Linked DNA regions of Oryzias latipes. Each later gene encodes a partner of the first gene's protein in a complex. Links are inferred from orthologs where the notes say so. Each region holds a gene or a part of one and is shown on either strand. Other genes may lie near its edges.

Region 1 (4,317 bases):
AACTAGAAGATTGCATCCATAGATGATAGACATCTTGTTTAATTCAAAGTAACATAATTAAGTGAATAAACGAAGCTGTTTCTGACTTTAGAGGCAACTTCAACTTTAAAAACAGCTGTTCTTAATATGCAAATTATTACATGCACTGTGACTGGCGCCCAACAGTAGCTGACCTGTACCCCGCCTTCAGCCAACAGCAACCTGGACAGTCTCTGGTGACCCCATGACCCCAAAAGGGAAATAGCAGCAGATTAAGAAAACAGATGGATGGATGGTTTGTTGCTGCCTACTGGCTAAATTGCTGTTCTTCAAAGCTGAACATCTATGTAGAAGCCTATTTTCCAGTTTTTATTTGTAAAAACAGAATAATTAAAAAAGAAGGTTATAGGATGACATTATTCACTGTCCCCGTGTCTTATGTCTGTATGATCATTAATTACTTTCATTTTGTCTTTGAAGTTTTAAAAATGTGTGTAAACCTTGTTTTAATCCCTGTTGTTAGGCAACTATTTTAATTTTGACTATTTTAGTTTGACCCTCTTAAAAATTTTACATAAATTTAGCATTTTTTCCTCAGTTTTAATTACATACCTTTAAAACATTTTCAGGTATTTACCCTTCCAAGGAATGACGAAGAAAACGGGTTGGAATTCCTGAAAACTGTTGTTCTTTTTGTTATGTGGATATTGGAACAACTGAGCATCTTTTCTTTGAATGTTTTTATTCTAACGTCTTTTGGAAAAATTTACATTGTTGGCTTTTCCCCAAGATTCCCTGTTTAGCAAACTTTTCTATTAAGGATGTCATTTTTGGGTTTATTTAAGAAAACAAAAACACAGAAATTTTAAATGTAATTATTTTGGGTAAATTCTATATGCATTAATGTCCATTCCTTAGAATCAAAAAAAAAAATTCAAAATCAAAACATTTCATAAAGAACTGTGGTGCTCTTCTTTTTCATCTATAAACTTCATGGAAAACAAACTTGCCATGGAACTTCAAAGTATCATATGTAAATTGCAGCTTTCTGATAAAGTTAAGAATCATTAAAATGTCTATGTAACCCCCTTTTTTATTTTAATTTTAATTTCTTTTATTTAAGTTTTTTTCTGTATTATTGTTATATATATTTTTAATTTTATCTTGCATCTGTTGTTTGTACATGTCCTGTACTTTTTCTACTTTTCTATTCTTGGCATAATTGAATACAATTGTCACAAATTGTTAACCTCAACTGTTTTTCCCCCAATAAAAATAAAATAAAAATAAAAATAAAAACCTTTCAAAATAAAAGCACGGTGTTAGAATCCTGTAATTCCTAAATTTGCGACTCTCTGCTTCACTAAAGCACGACATTTATTGTTTTATTCCGTCGCAAAATGATAAAGTGGGGACATTAACCTGCTCTGAGCTCTGGAGCTGAAGGTGGTTGGATAGGTGAAGAATTGGGATAAAGGGCATCGCGTCAAAGCCAAGGTGTGTCACGTGACCTATATCCCGGCTGTGATTGGCAGAGGCGGTGATCACACTGAAAGTAGAGCAGAGGTAGCGACGACTCTGGTTTGTGTCTGCTGCAGCTCATCAGGAAAATGCTTCTCAGTAAGGTGGGTTCTTCACTTTTAAGGCTTCCTTTATACAAGTTCGACGTAAATGGAGCCTTTCTCTTGCGGATATCCTACAGACGGACTTTTCTTATTTATTTCTACGTAAGGTGACAAACTTAGTTGTTACGTCACATGCTAACGCTGTTAGCTAGCAAAAGGTAACGATATCGACCAAAACAACAAACATCTTGTTGCTATTTGAATTTAGTGCACGATGTGACGTTTAACTTTTATTTGTGGGCTAGAAAAGTGTTTCAACTAGGAAGGTGGCTATTCAACTTTTTAAAATTGTGTTTTTATTATTATTTAATCATGAGCTAGCTACCTCCTGCCGACCCCAACATTTCACTTCAGTGACAATATTTATATTAGCATAAATGAGTTTAGCCAAACATTCCTTTTATCTACAGTATGTGTGTTTGAATGTGAAGAATTCTCTCTGTCAATGTGAACTTCATTACAGAATATTTAAATGTGTTGTTGTTGTGTTTGGGTTAGAGCTACTTAAGAATCGTATACTGACCTCTCTAGTCAGAGCCTTTTATATGAACATCAGACTCATCTTTAAATCTACTGATATTTTATCTTTAATGTTGTGTTCCTTACATTAAATGCTGGTTAACCACTTATTTTCTTTATACATCAAACTGTTTATTTTAGGCATCCATCCAAAACTGAGCAAACGTTTGAAAAAATAAAAACGAGGACATGTTCTGCAGGTTATGTAATACAGGAGTGACCATGACTGGAGCTGCTTCACGTAGAAATCATTTTTTCAGGAAAAGTTAACTAAAAATCCACCCCAAAAATCTAAAAATAACTCTTAGAGCAGTACTGATTCTGGTCTTTGCAGATTAGGGGGAGACCCATGCCAGTATGCATGGGGGGGGGGGGGGGGGGGGGGGGTTACATTTAAAGTGCAGACTGCAGGGTTTTAATGGCATTATAGGGTAAAGATTGCAGACGATGCTGTACCTTTAGTTAGCTGTCACGTCTTCAGGACATTAAGGACTGGTTGGCCCAATGCTTTTTGAGTTTTAATCAAAGAAAACTGAAGTTTTAGTTTTTGGACCATTGTGGTGAAGACAGTCCTGAGTCAGAAAGCAAAACTCCCGTCATGGGACTGGGTCATGACTGAAAGGAGGTCCCAGATACAAGCTTCCTCCTTAGGGTGGCTAGGCGCTCCCTTAGAGATGGGGTTCACCCAAAGAGAGCTTGGACTACAGCCGCTGCTCCTCCATATCTAGAGGAGCCAGATGAGGTGGCTCTTGCATCTGGTCTGGAGGCCTCCTGGACGCCTCACTAGAGAGGTGTTACGGGTGTTTCTCACTGGACGTAGGCCTCGGGGAAGACCCAGGACATACTGGAGAGACTACGTCTGTCAGCTGGCCGGGAAACGCCCCAGAGGAGCTGGAGCAAGTGGCCAAGGAGACGGAGGTCTGGGAATCTTTGCTTAGACTGCTGCCCCCGTGACTTGGTCCTGGATGAGCGGAAGAAGGATGGATGGATATGTCCTTACTAGATGAATGCCACAAAAAGTTGTTACTAAAACACCATTTTACATTTAAAGTTGATCTCTTGAATGTAAAACTGAAAGACTTGAAGGTGACTTTAGCAATGATGTCTTGTGTCTTGAAGGTCTTCAGAGCTGGTCTACAGTCTGGGATCCGTCTGCAGAGTTCCAGCGCTGCTACAGCCAAAGCAGCAGCAGCCTCCAGCAGCAATGCAGGATCTCTTGGGTTTTCTTTTGGTAAGTTGGCTTTAGAACATAATGTAAAACTAAAAGGTGGCAGTAAAAAACAATGCCTCCTATGCTACTAGCCATGTATTGATTTTGAATAATAGCTGAGCTTAGTGGCTGTTGGGTTCAGTTTTATCGGCATTTGGAGCGGATCAAGTCATTGTAATGCGACTGTACTGAAGCATTTCTCGCCTTGATTCCTCCTTCAGAGCTGACGGATCAGCAGAAAGAGTTCCAGCAGCTGGCCAGAAAGTTTGCACGTGAGGAGATGATCCCTGTTGCAGCTGCTTATGACAGAAGCGGTGAAGTGAGTTAAGAAAAGATGAGACTGAAAACTATATGCCCAAATTCAGTTTAACATGCTAATTTGGTAAATGCTGAACAGTTGATATTTAATGTATTGGGTGTAATTCTGGATGTTTTTGCAGTATCCATTCCCTATCATCAAGAAAGCTTGGGAGCTTGGACTCATCAATGGTCACATTCCACAGGAATACGGTACTCCTCCTGTTTTTGTTAACTACCCAACCCATGTAGTCATGAAGTAATGATGTGAGGGACATTTAACTGTAAAACAAAAGTAAAAACAAAAGATTTAATCTAATCAGCATTTGAGGTCCAGATGAAAGCTCTCTGATAGAAGCTGTTGTGTGTCCTTCATTGTCAGGTGGAATGGGCTTATCCATCTTTGACAGCTGCCTCATCACAGAGGAGCTGGCTTACGCCTGCACAGGGATGCAGACTGCTATGGAGGCCAATTCTCTGGGAGTACGTCTGTCTTGTTTTAGAACATTTTCTCTACCGTTCGTTTGGCTGTAACTTTGATTCCTGCTCAGTCAAACAGATATTTTACTTCACTGTCGTTTGAAGGGAACTTGTCTTGCAACAGTGGCCAAATACAACTAAAAACTACTTCATTTCAGTTTTACCTGTAAAAAGTAGGTCCTCTGGACCCAGACGCCTGCTTTTTCT
Region 2 (3,298 bases), on another chromosome or scaffold:
TACGTTATAGCTAACTTATAGTTTTATATACCATGGTCCTGGTGAATACTCCACTTGGATTGGCTGCAGGATGTTCATTAAAAAAGTGACAGTGGACACTTAGTAGGGCATTATTCCTAACATGTCACACTCAAAACACTGACATATTTGGGATTTAAAAGAAAACAGACATACATTTATTTACCTTGTTGAGAAAGTAGCTGTCAGTCAATTGTTCTTTCATCTTCAATACTACTCTTAAAACACACATTTTTATTTTTTTACATAGTTTAAAGAGAATGAAATTATCTTTGTTTATTTGTTTCTTTTTTTGACAGGAGTTGTACATTGCAGTTGGTATTTCAGGAGCGATTCAACATTTGGCTGGAATGAAAGATAGTAAGGTAAATTTACAGGAGCTCAAGGGGACAGAACAGAAATTTTCCACACTTTATTATTTAGGGATCATTTTGGTTGTTTTTAAAATAGTTTTTCCTTATTTTCTTATTGGTCGTTTACTTAAAATGTGTTTAGCTTAAAATACAAGTAAAAGTATCAGGTTTTTCTATTAGACACAACTTAGTGAATTGGTCACATTTCTTTCTTTTTTTTTCCACTTGTTCCTTTGGTGCAAAAAATCTGGTATTGTTGACAAATTGTACGAAAGGCTACATAACTTAAATGTAACTCTTTATGCTCTTTTTTTTGTTTTAGGTTTTTATATGGGAAACCAAATATTGTCTGTATAGAACACTATATCCATGAATCTCACACGATTTAATAATATGGAAACAGTTAGTGCTTGGACATGTTTTACATGTTTTTTTTGCCTCTTTCATATAGACTATTGTTGCTATCAACAAGGATCCTGAAGCTCCCATTTTCCAGGTGGCTGACTATGGCTTAGTGGCAGATCTTTTTAAGGCAAGTGTTTGACTGGAAATGTGTCAGTTGTTGCAACCGACTATGACTAAGCCATTCTTGGACTTGTTTTCATGTATACGTTTTTTTTAATCTTTAGGGATGCATGATTGTAAAAACATAACATTTGTTTTGCTCACTTATGAATTTTGCATGGCGCCTTATTCCACCCAATGGAAATGTGTGTCTGCTGAATTATTAAGCTCTTGAATGAATCTACGGAGGCTCTGGCTGCAGCTTGTCACAACATGGCAGGCCAAAGCAGCGATTGTTACCCAGTCGCGTGATTCTTACTCGGTGTGGTTTAAATAAACCCAAATGTGCCACGAAGAAAGTTTTAAAAACGTCTCGTTGGTTTGGTCAAAGCGGTTTTATTTTTAGCCTCGACCTCTTATACGCTCAGTTGCATTCTTGCAATGAGCTGGCACTTCAGGACACCGAGCCAGGGGTTTTGGCATCACTATTCTTCCAGGGCTGTCTGTGAAAGGCTAGTAGGGTATATTTTCATGTGTGTCCTGTAGTTCATGTTTTATTTAGCTCCTGGAGTGGTGCTGGAGCAGCACAGGTGTCCTGACGAACTCAGTGGAAGTGATTAGCAATAAGTTGGTGGCAGTGGAGTTGTGACCCACTGAGTCGGATCAGCTTACATGTGACCACTCCTCGGATAACTGTTTAAAATGGATGGGCTTTCTAGCTTTTCCCCCAAATGGACAGTTGATACTCCACGCCAACATGGTCAGGGACTGATTCTATTCTGGGGTTTGCTGATAGCAGAAGCAGTTTGAACTAAACTGTATTTATTGAGCCAAATACTCCTTAAGAGTAATCAATTATGCATGTTTTAAAGCTGTGTACGCTCACAGTCGGGGTTTCCAGGTAGGTTTTCAGCTGTTTTTCAATCTCCGTTTCAATCATTAAAAGAAATGTGGTCAATTAAAGTGATCTCACACATCAAAGGACTCAAACAGCATTCATTGATTCTTTAGCGAAACAGAAAATGCCATCAGCTTTATTTTGTTAAGTCAGTTGTGGTCACAAAAGAGAAAACTTAATTAGAAAAAAATAAAAAAATAAACATGAAATCAACCTAAATTACGAACAAATTACTGCAAAATGTAGGCAAAAACATTAAATAGCAAACTATGACCCAGAAAGTATAATAGCTGCACCAATTTTTAAATGATGAACGGAGCATCTGCATATTTGTTATGCCGGCTTCAGTGAAAACATGAAGAAAAATGGATGACATCTGTTGTCTATTTTAAGAATAATGTCTTTACTGGGCACCAGGAACCAGTTGGGAATTGGTTTCAGAAAAATCAGTGTAAACTTTGTTCTTTCTTTTCAAACTTTCATTAGCAAAGGTTAAAACACCTCCATTTGTCTTTAGCACCCATAAAAACAAAATAGCAAATTAAGTCAACATTCTTTTTCAGAAATTTACTTTTAACTGGAATTATATATGGACATTTTTATTCATCCATGTTAGTTGATTAATTTTGAAGCTAAATTGAATGGAAAACGGGTCCCTTTTTTGGCAACAATGTTAAAGTTTGATTCTGGCAAATCATTTTTGCATTTTTTTAATTTTTATTTTGAAGGCCGTTCCTGAGATGACGGAAGCACTGAGCAAGTGAAGAGCCGCGCTCCACCAAACCTTCAACAGACTTCAACAGCTTCAGCAAGAGTAATAACAGGAAACCTGCTCATTGCCTTAAAGAGTTCCTGAAGCTGCGTGTTTCAGCGTCGAACCAATGCCGCCGTCAAGATCCACTATTAGTAGTTTCAAGAAAGAAATACCAGTTTTTGTATATATCCTACAAATACTTAATTCCTAATAAATGATCTGTACTAACCTATGGCAGTTTTTATTTTTTTGCTCTTAATAGTATATGGTGTGATACTGTGTCAACGCCGAGTAAAACATTCACACAGTTGAGACTCTCCAATGATTCTTTCATACATGTTTAGTGCAGCTTCTTTGATTTCAACACATCTGGCATGAAATTGGTCTTACGGAGGTTCCTGCTTGCATTTTTGGTTTTGAAATCACCCAAACTTATTTAAAATGTTGTGCCCTTTTCTTAGTCTTCAAGTTATACTGGCTCTTTTTTTAAAGTCTTATTTATGTATTTACACTTGTGGCTAAAAATGTAGGAGCAGTTTTTTATGGCTTTTTCAGCTACTATTAATACATAAGCATTTTAAGCTTTTATTTAGCTCATTTTGGGGCTTTTTTCTGGATCATTTCTATTTTATGTTGAATTGCTCACTGGCTTAAAGCATCAAATTCTAGGCAAACATTTTCTTTTGTAAATTTTGCATTTACCTTGATTCCAAGCTTTTTCTTTTGCCATTGTGACATTTGTAGCAGTGTTTACTATTTATCTGTTTTCCT

The links. Proteins that work in one complex are often made in the same cells at the same time.
Region 2: the proteins of acadm (region 1) and etfa are in contact, whole or in part, in a crystal structure (PDB 2A1T), measured with the Homo sapiens proteins. The link is inferred for Oryzias latipes from reciprocal best matches to the Homo sapiens genes ACADM and ETFA. Residues at the interface, in NP_000007.1 of Homo sapiens: Pro163, Lys173, Pro211, Gln232, Arg235, Glu237, Val251, Glu253; in NP_000117.1 of Homo sapiens: Arg223, Lys226, Arg249, Asp253, Ala283, Ile284, Gln285, Glu304.

Annotation. Positions count from the first base shown.
Region 1 is NC_019875.2:3,779,523-3,783,839, forward strand, and holds the start of acadm (medium-chain specific acyl-CoA dehydrogenase, mitochondrial), read left to right. Parts: upstream 1-1,477; 5' UTR 1,478-1,589; coding exon 1,590-1,604; intron 1,605-3,242; coding exon 3,243-3,354; intron 3,355-3,554; coding exon 3,555-3,652; intron 3,653-3,773; coding exon 3,774-3,843; intron 3,844-4,012; coding exon 4,013-4,113; intron 4,114-4,317. UniProt on the Homo sapiens protein: Medium-chain specific acyl-CoA dehydrogenase is one of the acyl-CoA dehydrogenases that catalyze the first step of mitochondrial fatty acid beta-oxidation, an aerobic process breaking down fatty acids into acetyl-CoA and allowing the production of energy from fats.
Region 2 is NC_019864.2:17,580,326-17,583,623, reverse strand, and holds the end of etfa (electron transfer flavoprotein subunit alpha, mitochondrial), read left to right. Parts: intron 1-317; coding exon 318-383; intron 384-822; coding exon 823-903; intron 904-2,501; coding exon 2,502-2,537; 3' UTR 2,538-2,759; downstream 2,760-3,298. UniProt on the Homo sapiens protein: Heterodimeric electron transfer flavoprotein that accepts electrons from several mitochondrial dehydrogenases, including acyl-CoA dehydrogenases, glutaryl-CoA and sarcosine dehydrogenase.